2 linked regions of the Callithrix jacchus genome follow. The protein of the gene in region 2 interacts with the protein of the main gene of each other region in a biochemical or structural test. Links are inferred from orthologs where the notes say so. Each region holds a gene or a part of one and is shown on either strand. Other genes may lie near its edges.

Region 1 (6,599 bases), on a different chromosome or scaffold from region 2:
AGTATCTATGGAATTTATTCAAGTATTTTTTTTTGACACCTGAAAGATGAGCAGAGTCTTTGAAGAGCTGCTTAAGCAAAAACCCATCTTTTAAAACAAGTACAATTCTTAAAAAACATTCACTCTTGCCACTCCAGGGTATACTTTCCTTCATTTTACAGTTTTCTCATGTTAAAAAAAGAAGACAAATACTACCTTTCAAATTTGGTGCGGAACATCTGAGCTATATCACGTTCTTTCCCTTGGGTGATTTTTCCGACCTTCACTGCTAACAACAGGGCTGCAAATTGTTGCCTCTTCCCCTAGGGACTAGAGAAGATGAGGAAGTACCTGAAAGACACTGGCCAAGTGCTTACCTAGATAGAGTTGACCATCTGCAGCTGTAGAGAGGTTATTTTCCTTACTTCCAACTATACATCCTGACTGACATTTTATTTGCATCACTGTGTAATTCAGTTTCTAAGACAAGATTAAGGCATTTACCTCCCCAGTAAACAAACTTAATGAACAGCGTCAACACCGTTTCCCAGATCATTGTGTGGCTAAGTAACTAACCCCTGAGGTTTGGCCGTTCTTAAATCAGAAGGCTATTTTCTATAGCTCGACAAGAACATGAATACACATTGCGTTAGAAAACTCAGTGGTACATGGGGCTTCTAGAAATCTCTAGAGATCACATTCCTTCTCCCAAAATCATTTGGAAAGTAGAGAAGTAGTGTCAATATATTTAATTGTCAATTCTGGAGTTACTGAATTAATTTGCTAAACCTATTTAAGAATCTTACAAGAACACATAAAATATTTCTTTCTTCTTCCAAGAAAAGATAACTGCAACTTTATTTTCTATTTCTTGAATCAAATTCCTATATTATTTGGGTGTTTGTCAATGCAGAATGTATAGAATCACATCTTCTTAGGAAGTTTGACAAAATAAAGCAATTTCCAGGAAAGATCAAGCTGTTACAAAATACTATTTACAAAGTTTATTTAAATATATTCTTTAATTATATTCATTTATCTATCGGCAGCCACCTTACTTAATGTGATGCTCAATTCTTCAAAATACATTTATGAAGAAATTTTAAAAACATGCTTTTTTCCTGCAGATCATACGGCGCAAATAAAAAATGTTGGCACAACTTTATTATTTATTTACTTGTTGAGACTGGGTCTCGGTTTGTTGCCTAGGCTGGAGCACAGTGGCTGATCTCAGCTCACTGAAATCTCTGCCTCCCAGGTTCAAGCAATTCTCCTGCCTCAGACTCCTGAGTAGCTGGGATTACAAGTGTCTGCTACCATGTCTGGCTAATTTTTGTATTTTTTAGTAGAGATGGGGTTTCACCATGTTGGCCAGGCTGTTTAGGCATCTTGTCTCAAACTCCTTAACTCAGGTGATCCACCCAACTCTGCCTCCCAGAATGAGATTGTAGGAGTGAGCCACTGTGCCTGGCCTATTGGCATAACTTTGAAATTGATATATGAAGTTTGGTTTGACAAACACTCGCATGTGACAATGAAGAGTAGAATTTAGCTTCATGTTATGGTCTTAAGATAGGCAAAAACTGCAAATTTTGTATTTTGCACTTTAAAAATAATCTAGGCCTGGCACATTGGCTCTCGCCTTGTAATCCCAGCACTTTGGGAGGCTGAGGCGGTTGGACCACCTGAGGTCAGGAGTTGGAGACCAGCCTGGCCAACCTGGTGAAACCCCATCTCTACTAATAATACAAAAATTAGCCCGGCGTGGTGGCACATGCTTGTAATCCCAGCTACTTGGGAGGCCGAAGCAGGAGAATCACTTGAACCCAGAGGCAGAGGTTGCAGTAAGCCAAGATCAAGCCGTTGCACTCCAGACTGGGGGACTGAGTGAGACTCTATCTCAATAATAATAATAATAATAATAATAATCTCCTTTATAATTATCTTGATTTTATATGTCAAGTTAAAGACAAGGTTCTAGGCTCCTATTTGCAAAGGGCATTAAAAATAACAATTATTAACATAAATGATCTTCAGGCTTTGAAAAAGCAAATTAGATACAGTGTTGCTTGCTGCATTACCCCCTTTAAAATTTATTTCCTTAAAAAAAATCCTACTGACGTTACTTATGCTAATAAGAATTTTATTGGAGGTAGTAAAGTTCGTCTTGAGACAAACTGCAGAATTATCACTTAACGTCAGTGTTCTTTAAGCATCTTGCCTTTACCAACTAGCCAGTAATATGTTCCATTTTTTTAAAAAGTCATTTAAAACGATTTTCAGAACCTTAACCAAGATGCTTCAATACCGAAGTACCGGTACCGTCATCTGAGATTGGAGAGTTTAAAGCTGCTCTACCTTAGAGAGACATATTTAAGAGATAGTATTGTTTAACCTTTATAGACGATTAATTTTATTTGGATATTTTAGAATAGAACTTGAAATAGGTGTCACAAAATTCTTTCAAAACGTGAATTCTCAGAACCCGTCCCCACATCAGGAGCTTGAAGCCTCTGCCTCACAAAAAGCAGATCCCACCATCACCCCGGAGCAAGGAGGCAAACCCAGTAACTGGGACCCCACCTCCCCCAGGGCGTGACCCGAGATCCTTGACCTGTGACCCCACCTCCAGTGGGGCGTGACCCGTGGCCCCACCTTCCCCGGGGCGTGGCCCGGAGGCTACTCTGCTAAGAGCCGCGTAGCCCTAGTCGGGCGGAACCACTGTGCGCGCCGCCCTGTTTCCGGGCGGGGACGCTCAGGGTGAGACACTTATCCGCTACCCATAGACCCTGCCGCGCAGCAATGAAGTTTCGGGGCAAGATAGTGGACGGGGCCTGTCTGAACCACTTCACACGTGAGCAAGGAGGCCCGAGGGGAGCGAGGGAGGAACGGAAAAAGGCAGTGAGCGCGCGGTGGGGACCGCGGGGGAGGATCAGAGCGGGGATGGGCGCAGGAAGGGGCCGCTGGAGGATGGGGTCCGGGATGGGGGTGCTTATGGAAGCCGCGGGAGGGCGCGGGGTGGGCCGTAGGGACTTGTAGGGATGAAGGCAGCTTTCAAGAGACGTTTCTGAAACTTGATTCTGATCACGTGGCTTTTTAAAAAAGCGGCCACTGCTCCCCTAGACGGCTTTATCAGGCTTTGACATTCCTTGAAGGCTCCATTCGTCCCTCCCCCCTGACAGTGCCTAACTTTGCATTCAACTCTGTTGCAGTATCCAGTAGTCAGTAAGTTTATGTTGAATGAATGAATGACTGGTAGGACACTGAAGATGTGTGCTGTACGTCTCCCTGGGTTTGTTGGGAGAATTGCATGACATCAGAGGTATTAAAGTACTTTCCAGTGTGATACAAACGTAAGTCGTTATGTTTTTCACCGGGAAGTTGCACCATGATGAACAAGAAATTGTGCAAAATAAGTTGGTGTCTAGGATACATGATGTGCATTTTAGTAATTCCTTATTTTAACTCCTGCTTTAGGAATCAGTAACATGATAGCCAAGCTTGCCAAAACCTGTACCCTCCGCATCAGCCCTGACAAGCTTAACTTCATCCTTTGTGACAAGCTGGCTAATGGAGGGGTGAGCATGTGGTGTGAGCTGGAACAGGTGAGCAAAAGCTTCTGAGAGGCCTGCACACGCTACAGATTGTCATTGGAAAGACCACAAATGCCCTCCCTCATCCCCCATTTTTTTTTTTCCTTTAGGAGAACTTCTTCAGCGAATTTCAAATGGAGGGTTTCTCTGCAGAAAACAACGAGATTTATTTAGAGCTAACATCGGAAAACTTATCACGAGCCTTGAAAACTGCCCAGAATGCCAGAGCCTTGAAAATCAAACTGACTAATAAACACTTTCCCTGCCTCACAGTCTCCGTGGAGCTGGTGAGTAGGAGAGTCAGGGTTTCTGAAATTTCCCACGGAAATCTTGGCCTCGAAGGAATAGATGTAGTTAGCCTAGCCTTTATAACAATAAATATTGTTGAAAACTATTTGGCTTATTTAAATTTAAAGATCTGGTCCATAACTATATTTTGCATTAGAGTCAGTTCCTCCTCATTTTATAGTGTTGTGATCATATGCATTCAGCTAGAATGCTGCCTTTTACAAGTCATAAAACTTCCAGCCTCTTTATTTCTTGTAGTGGTGTTGTCACCTTGTCTAGAAATCATGATTTCAATCGATTTTCGTCTTTGGCATGTTTTCTCTTCACTCCCACCCTGCCTTTAATGGGCCCTCATTCTTCAGTACACCTGTGTTTTGTATGCTCCTGCCAGATGAATTGAGTGCACAGCTGTCCCCCAAACACACAAATACACAAACTCATGTGTACACATACAACACAGAGTTGCTCTTCCTACTCACAGGATGAAGTTCGTATTTCTGTTTTGATTTGTTTTGTTTTGTTTTTGAGATGGAGTTTTGCTCTTTCGCCCAGGCTGGTGTGAAGTGGTGCGATCTCAGCTCACTGCAATCTCCATCCCCCAGGTTCAAGCAATTCTCCTGCCTCAGCTTCCTGTGTGGTTGGTATCATAGGTGCCCGCCACCATGCCTGGCTAATTTTTTGTGTTTTTAGTAGAGACAGCGTTTTGCCATGTTGGCCAGGCTCATCTCAAACTCCTGACCTGAGGTGATCCACCCACCTTGGTCTCCCAAAGTGCTAGGATTACAGGCATAAGCCACGCGCCTGGCCTGAAGTTCATGTTTCTTAACATGACCAAAGCCCTTCACATATGGCCCAATCCATCTTAGGGACCAAATTATAAACTGTGATCCCCTGAGTGCTTTCCCTAGATGTGTCTCATTCTTTCTGAACTCCCAGGCTTTGGTGATATTGGGCTTCCACTTGCAGTTTATTTCCTTCTCACTCTGAAACCTTCTCTTCATTTAGTGCTCGTCGCCAATGCTGCCCTTGCCCCAGTCTTCTGTTCTCTTACAGCTCTCCTTATATATTGTATTCAGTTGGTGCAATGGTAATTGTGGTTTTTGCCATTATATATACTTTATCCATCTATGGGTGAGTATTATATTTAGTTTCAAGCTTTCCGTGGAAAAGGATTCCTCAGCTTTTCTTCATAAGTCTCAACTTTTTGCAATCAGGCAGTTCTTAGAGCTAATTAGGGTATTTCATGTCACGATATAAGTTTGGTATGTTTTTCTATTGCTTAAGGAAAAGCAAGATAGTAACATGTAATACTTTTCTATCTAAAAGTGCAAAATCTTTTGGTCTGTGACTCTCATAGTCGCCCCTAGAAATAGAAAAATACAGTTTGCATTTTAACTGTTTAGAAACTGCAACACACTGAGTGTCCTATGCCCAAAGAATGGCCTTCTCAGTTGCCTCAACATAGCAGGCTTGCTTCTTTCTGCCTCACGGCTTTCCATATGCTATTTCCCCAGCCTGAAACACTGTCCCCTTGTTCCTGTCTTCCCGTGGATGCTACTCCTCCCGGCTTTGGTGGTATCTGGAATGTCGCCTCCCCAGTCTAAGGAAGCCCCCCACACTCACCCTGGTCACCGTGCTGTGCTGTCTCATGGCTCTAATGAGCGTTTGATATAATTTCAATCGTTTGCCTTTTTATTGATCTGTTTGTTCCACTGGAACACTGGGGACCTTTTTGTCTCATTCACCACACTTCCCGGTTCCTGAAAGTACCCTGAGTACGTGTCATAAATACTGGTCGAATGGCTTTTGAGTGAATAAATTGACAACATTCCACTTAGGTTTGTCGTTTCAACTTTTTTATCCTCGGGTCTTTGGGTTTGTTTTGTTGTTAATATTAACATAAAAGATTAATTCTTTTCTTGGCAGTTTTCTATGTCAAGCAGTACCCGCATTGCGACACATGACATCCCCATAAAGGTTATTCCTAGGAAATTGTGGAAGGACTTACAAGAACCGATGGTCCCAGATCCCGATGTAAGTGATGCAGTCCTGTTGTACACCCCACATTACATGGCATGACTAGAATTCTCTGATTTTAGTTGTAGTCTTGCAGTATATTTTATTTTTAAAGGATACATAAGGAAAACATTAGAATATTTGCCTTTCGATATTTACATAAAGCATCTTAGGACATGTTGCATATGACAGAAATGCCATGCTGTCCTATATGTGGAAAATGTCTCACTCAGTAACATCACTTAAACAAAACAAAACTGAAATGATCTGTTGGCGGACAATTAGTATTTGTTAGTATTCTTGGCCTTCAGCACCAATATGGGTTTCGCAGGACTTGATCTTTTCCTCAGCCTGTCAGAAGCAGCATCTGGATGTGCACAAAAGCCAAGGAGAGAGGAGTTTCATGGCTTAGGTTTTGGGTTAACAGTCATGCTGATGGTTAACCCTAGAGCCCCTGAAAGTAAAGATGATGCCAAAGGACCCCTTGCCTCTTGCTCACAATTTACTTAAGAAATTACAAAATTATGCTGGGTAAAATAATTACTTGACTTTTACTCGAAGGGATCTATGCTGATTTTGAAAAAGCCCGTGTTTTATAGAGCACACTTGCTAACAGACTCGAGTATGATTGGGTGACTGCTTGCCGTATTTTTGCACAGAGCATGGAAAAGGCCCCTGAATCCTAGGTGTAAATGTCCCTTAGAGGAAGGCCTCCTGCTGTGT
Region 2 (6,474 bases):
TCAGCTTCAAATGGGTACATTGCTCAGCAATCCTGTTTCCTTGATCAACTCATTCTCCACAAAGATTATGTTAAAATTTCTCCAAGTTATGTACAGTAGCTCATGCCTATAATCCCAGAACTTTAGGAGGCTGAGGTGGGAGGACTGCTTGAGGCCAAGAGTTCAAGACCAGCCTGGGCAACATAGTGACACCTCGTCTTGACTAAAAATTTAAAAGAATAATTAGTTGGACATGGTGGGACACACCTGTCGTCCCAGCTATTTGGGAGGCTGAGGTGGGAGGATCACTTGAGCCTAGGAGTCTGAAGATGCAGTGAGCTATGATCATGCCACTACACTCTAGCCTAGGTGACAGACAGACCCTATCTCGAAAAAAAAAGTGGAAATTTTTGTTTGTTAGTTTTGAAATGAAGTCTCACTCTGTTGCCCAGGCTGGAGTGCAGTTGTGCAATCTAGGCTCACTGTAACCTCTGCTTCCCAGGTTCAAGTAATTCTCCTGCCTCAGTCTCCTGAGTAGCTGGGATTACAAGTACCCATCACCATGCCCAGCTAATTGTTATATTTTTTAGTAGAGATGGGGTTTCGCCATGTTGGCCAGGCTGGTCTTGAACTCCTGACCTCAGGTGATCTGCCAACCTTAGCCTCTGAAAATGCTGGGATTACAGGCCTGAGCCACCACGTCCAGGCTGAAAATTTTTATTTTAATTTTTTAAATTACTGTTAGAGGTGAGTTCCTGCTCTGTTGCCCAGACTGGAGTCCAGTGACATGATCATAACTCACTGCAGTCTCAAACTCCTGGGTTCAAGAGATCCTCTTGCCTTAGGCTCCTGCAGAGCTGGGACTATAGACAAGCACCACCACACCTGGCTGGTTTCTTATTTTATTTTATTTTTTTTAGTGATGGGGTCTTGCTGTGTTGTCCAGGCTGGTCTTGAACTCCTGGGCTCAAGTGATTCTCCTGCCTCAGCCTCCCAAAGTGCTAGAATTACAGGTGTGAATCACCATACCCTGCCCACTTTCTTAGAATGTCAGAACACCCCTTTTCTGTTAACAAATGATTTTACTTCAGACTTGACAACGAATGCAGAAGACATCAAAGGAAATACTCGGATTTTACAGAAAGCAAACACACAAACCTATGCATATCAGCATCTATCTTCTTTCTGCTCTAACTAGAGGTCAGTTCATTCTGGTATCTAAGTCCTTCCCCTCTGGTTGTGCTTCGGAGCTATTCTCACTCTATATACTTTTCTTAGGCAAACTCATCTACCTGTATTTCCGTAACCACCTATAAGTAGATGACTTCAATATTTATATACTCATTTTAGAATTCCTTAAGTTCAGTCCCACTACCTACCTGAACATCAACTAGATATTTCAAATGCACCTCAAATTCAACATGTTTAAGGCTGAGCGCAGTGGCTCACGCCTGTAATCCCAGCACTTTCAGAGGCCAGGGCAGGCGATTGCTTGAGCTCATGAGTTTGAGACCAGACTGGGCAACATAGCGAAACCAGAACTCTACAAAAAATACAATAAATTAGGTGCGCTTGGTGGTGGGCATCTGTAATCCTAGCTACTCAGGAGGCTGGGGTTGGCAGATCACTTGAGCCCAGGAGGCGAAGGTTGCAGTGAGCCGAGATCGCACCACTGCACTCCAGCCTGGACGACAGAGCCAGAAACTGGCTTCAAAAAAAGAAAAGAAAAAAAAATTCAACAAGTTTAAAATTGAACTTGGCCGGTTGCATTGGCTGGCATTACACCTGTAATGCTAGCATTTTAGGAGGTGAAGGTGGGAGGATCCCTTGAGCCCAAGAGTTCAAGATCAATCTGGGCAAGAGTGAGACCTTGTCTCTACAAAAAATACAAAAATTAGCTGGGCATAGTGGCATGTGCCTGTAATCCCAGCCATTCAGGAGACTGAGGTGGGAGGATCACCTAAGCCCAGGAGGCTGAGGCTGTAGTAAGCCAAGGTCATGCCACTGGACTTCAGCCTGGGGGACAGAGCAAGACCCTGTCTCTAAAAAATAAAAAGATAAATAAAAATAAATATATAAAATTTTTTTTAAAAACTGAACTCCGCCGGGCGCAGTGGCTCAGGCGTGTAATCCCAGCACTTTGGGAGTCCGAGCCAGGCGGATCACGAGGTCAGGAGATCGAGACCATCCTGGCCAACATGGTGAAACCCATCTCTACTGAAAATACAAAAATTAGCTAGGTGTGGTGGCACGTGCCTGTAATCCCAGCTACTTGGGAGGCTGAGACAAGAGAATCTCTTGAACCCAGGAGGCAGAGGTGGCTGTGAGCCTAGATCTCACCACTGCACTCCAGTCTGGCAACAGAGCGAGACTCCGTCTCAAACAAAACCAAAAAAACAACTGAACTCATTCTGAGCATTGCTTTGTAGTAAAAAACAAAAACTGAATTCACAGTCATTCCCTGACAACCTCACCGCCACCCCTTGGCCAAAGTGATTATCTTCCAGGGCTCTTGATCAGGGAATGGTGTCATTATTCTTTCAATTATGCAGCCAAATATCTTGACACTTCTATCTTCCCACCTCCCATCCAACCCACCATCAAGCCCTGTCAACTTTACCTTTTAAACACCTTTCATAATGCCCCTTTTTCACTCTCTGTTTCCTTCCTTTTCTTCCTCTCTCCCTGACAACCTTTTTCAAGCTCAAGCAGTTCCTGCCTGGAGTATTGCAATATCCAACTGGTCTGCCCTAATCCACTCTAGCAACCCCTGCTGTAGAGGGACCTTTTAAAATGCAAATCTGACCTCAGTTCACTTCTGCTTCAAGCTTATGATTGATTTCCTTTATTCTTGGATAAGCATAAAACTTCTCAGTATGGCGAAGGCCTGCTTCCTCTGCCTCCAGCTTCAACTCACACCACACTCCACTCAGGCTGATTAGCTCAAACCCCTCAGATATTCCTCACCGTGCTTACTCCTGCCATGCCGCCTTTGCACACCTGATTCCCTCTGCTTATGGAGGTTCCCTCCTTTTTTTGTAAAAGGTACCAGATCTCACACACCAAGCTCTCACGGGAAAAGCCTTTCCTGTCCTACCTCTCAAGATCTCCTTATTGTAAATACTCAAAGTATCATTAAGCTCTACTGTTTCACTTGACAGCAGTAATTCCACTATTGTGTGTTTGTTTGTTTTGGAGATGGTGTCTCCCTCTGTCACTCCCTCCGTCCAGGTTGAAGTGCAGTGGTGTAACAGTTTACCATAGCCTCCACCTCTCCGGCTCAGGTCATCCTCCCACCTCAGCCTCCAGAGTAGCTGGGACTACAGGCACGCACCACCACACCCGGCTAATTTTTAGTAGAGAAGCGGTTTCACCATGTTGGCCAGGCTGGTCTTGAACTCGTGACCTCAATCCATCCACCTGCCTCGGCCTCCTAAAGTGCTAGGGTTACAGGCGTGAGCCACCGTACCCAGCCCACATTTGTTTATTTGATTACTTAAAAACGTCTGAGCCCCTCTCCCAGGATTGGGCTGTGAGTCCAAGGGAAGTTAAGAACCTTGTCTGCCATTGTACCCTCAGGGCCTAGCGGTGCCTGGCACATAGTAGTTGTTCAACTAGACAGGCTAAGTAAATAAATAAAGCACTACAGTCTATTGTATCCGAAGGCTTAGCTTTGGGAGGGGCAAAGACAGGTCAGTACCTTAAGATTTCGCGCGCACGTAGGGCTCAAGGTGCCGACATTTTTTCCAAGATGGAAGAAAGCTGAGATCACACGCAGCCCTCAAAGAACCCTCGGGCTAATCGCGGGGAGCAAATAATCGTTCGCTGTAGGAAAACTGGGTACGATTTCCCCTGGGAAGGAAATCAAGTAAAGCCGACCTTTGAAAAGGGGAGCAGAGCAGTTCGAGGGGAGACAGGGGCGTGTCGCCTGACTTGGCTAGGGCGGCAGGGAAGCGGGCCCAGGGAGCCGGGCCTGTCACGCCGCTTCCGCGCGTCCCCAAACTGTCCCTCTGCTCGCCCACCCACGCCGCGGAGACCCCTCCGGCCCCTCCCTGACCTCACGGCCACCTCTTACCCCACGAACAGGCCAGCGGGCCGCCTTACCAGCCCGGGCCGGCCAGGGCCGCCGCTCCTGTCACACCGCGCCGCGTTCGAGCCCCGAATGCCGAGACAAGCCGGCGCCGATTGGCGACGTTCCGTCACGTGACCTTAACGCTCCGCCGGCGCCAGTTTCAAACAGCGGAACAAACTGAAAGCTCCGGTGCCAGACCCCACCCCCGGCCCCGGCCAGGGACCCCCTCCCTTCCCGGGATCCCCCGGGGTTCCCACCCCGCCCGCACCGCCGGGGACCCGGCCGGTCCGGCGCGAGTCCCCGTCCGGGGTCCGGGCTCGGCCCCCAGGTTGGAGGAGCCCGGAGCCCGCCTTCGGAGCCACGGCCCAACGGCGGCGGCGACTGCAGTCTGGAGGTGAGCGGGATGCAGGAATGGAGTCCCAGGCCTGGCCTAGGCACAGGCGGGGAGCAAGGCCTCCGGGTGCGGAGGTCAGGGCGTCTAGCAGCAGGGCACGGGCCACCAGTGGAGGTTTGGGCCATACGGGGAGAAGGTCTGAGCCAGGGTGCAAATTTTTTCTGCATCCAACCTCCTGGCCTTGGCATTCTCACTACTTAAAGCGCCCCATGGACTTCCCTGAAGTCTGACCTCTGCACCCTGCCCACAGCCTCGGGAGGGCTGGGGTGACCTACTTTCTTCCTTAGGCCGACTGTGGCTGCGATGAAGACTGAGCTTGTACTATATTGAGTCAAAGACCAACATACGTACACACTCCCCTGCTCCCAGGCTGTCTCACCACTAGGCAACACTGCCTCCATCTTACCCTTTGGCCACCACCCTTCTCCTGGTTCTTGAGAATGTAGCAAGATTTCCCCGCTTGGGATGGGGATGGGTCAGAGGAGCCACTCTGGAAGTTTCCCGGGCAAGAAAGTGTCGGCAATAATACTAAGAGGTTGGTCAGGAATTAGAAGAGAAACTTAAGACTTAGATATCCTGTGGAAAAATAACAGTATCTACTGATTGATGCAGGGAGAGAGGGAGGCCTGGAAAGATATGAGGTGAAGGTGAAACAGATTTGAAGGTAGAAGTGTGGAGGGCCTGTGAACTCTATGCAGATGGCAAATGTCAAGAAAGTGCAGTTGCTTTTCAGGGAGACAAGTGTCCTAAAAATGAGACAGCCAAGGCCTGGCGCGGTGGTTCAGGCCTGTAATCCCAGCACTTTGGGAAGCCGAGGCAGGCAGATCACAAGGTCAGGAGATGGAGCCCATCCTGGACAACATGGTGAAACCCCCATCTCTACTAAAAATATACAAAAATTAGCTGGGCATGGTGGCGCACGCCTGTGGTCCCAGCTGCTCGGGAGGCTGAGGCAGAAGAATTGCTTGAACCCATGAGGTGGAGGTTGCAGTGAGCAAGATCGCACCACTGTACTCCAGCCTGGTGCCTGGCAACACAGCAAAACTCTGTCTCAAAAAAAAAAAAAAGAGAGAGAGAAACAGCCAATTCCTCTGTCTCCCATAGTTCCATGAAATAGAATTATACAAGTTTACTTAATAGTAGAATATTCCATATATCTATTAAAATCAGCAAAGGGCCAGACACGGTGGCTCACACCTGTAATGCCAGCACTTTGGGAGGCTGAGATGGGCAGAAGTTTGAGGTCAGGAGTTTGAGACCAGCCTGACCAACATGGTGAAACCCCATCTCTACTAAAAATACAAAATTAGCCAGGTATGGTGGTGCACACCTGTAATCCCAGCTACTTGGGAGGTTGAGGCAGGAGAATCACTTGAACCCAGGAAGGTGGAGGTTGAGGCAGGAGAATCACTTGAACCCAGGAAGGTGGAGGTTGCAGTGAGCCAAGATCGCACCATTGCTCTTCAGCCTGGGCAACAAGAGCAAAACAACATCTCAAAAAAATTTTAAAAATCAGGCTGGGTGTGGTGGCTCACACCTGTAGTCTCAGCTCTTTGCGAGGCTGAGGTGGGTAGATCGCCTGAGGTCAGGAGTTCTAGACCAGCCTGGCCAACGTGGTGAAACACTGTCTCTACTAAAAATACAAAAATTAGCTGGACGTGGTGGTGGGCACCTGTAATCCCAGCTACTCAGGCTGAGGCAGGAGAATCGCTTGAACCTGGGAGACGGAGGTTGCAGTGAGCCGAGATGTAATCCCTGCACTCCAGCCTTGGCAACTGAGCGAGACTCCATCTCAAAAAAAAATAAAGGCTGGGTACAGTGGCTCACACCTGTAATCTGAGCACTTTGGGAGGCTAAGGTGGGTGGATCACCTGAGGAGTTTGAGACCAAACTGGCCAACATGGTGAAACCCCATCTCTGCTAAAAAAAAAAAAAAATTAACTGGCGTGTTGGTGTACGCCTATAATCGCAGCTACTCGGGAGGCTGAGGCAGGAGAATCACTTGAACCTGAGAGGCAGGCAGAGGTGT

Evidence for each region.
Region 1: the proteins of RHNO1 (region 2) and HUS1 form a complex in vitro, tested with the Homo sapiens proteins (2 studies listed by BioGRID). The link is inferred for Callithrix jacchus from reciprocal best matches to the Homo sapiens genes RHNO1 and HUS1.

Annotation. Positions count from the first base shown.
Region 1 is NC_133512.1:15,519,906-15,526,504, reverse strand, and holds the start of HUS1 (checkpoint protein HUS1), read left to right. Parts: upstream 1-2,741; 5' UTR 2,742-2,781; coding exon 2,782-2,833; exon of another isoform or gene 2,834-2,880; intron 2,881-3,191; exon of another isoform or gene 3,192-3,332; intron 3,333-3,456; coding exon 3,457-3,584; intron 3,585-3,682; coding exon 3,683-3,859; intron 3,860-5,786; coding exon 5,787-5,894; intron 5,895-6,599. UniProt on the Homo sapiens protein: Component of the 9-1-1 cell-cycle checkpoint response complex that plays a major role in DNA repair. The 9-1-1 complex is recruited to DNA lesion upon damage by the RAD17-replication factor C (RFC) clamp loader complex.
Region 2 is NC_133510.1:16,196,412-16,202,885, reverse strand, and holds the start of RHNO1 (RAD9, HUS1, RAD1-interacting nuclear orphan protein 1), read right to left. Parts: upstream 4,147-6,474; 5' UTR 4,055-4,146; intron 3,832-4,054; 5' UTR 3,680-3,831; intron 1-3,679. UniProt on the Homo sapiens protein: Involved in microhomology-mediated end-joining (MMEJ) DNA repair by promoting recruitment of polymerase theta (POLQ) to DNA damage sites during mitosis.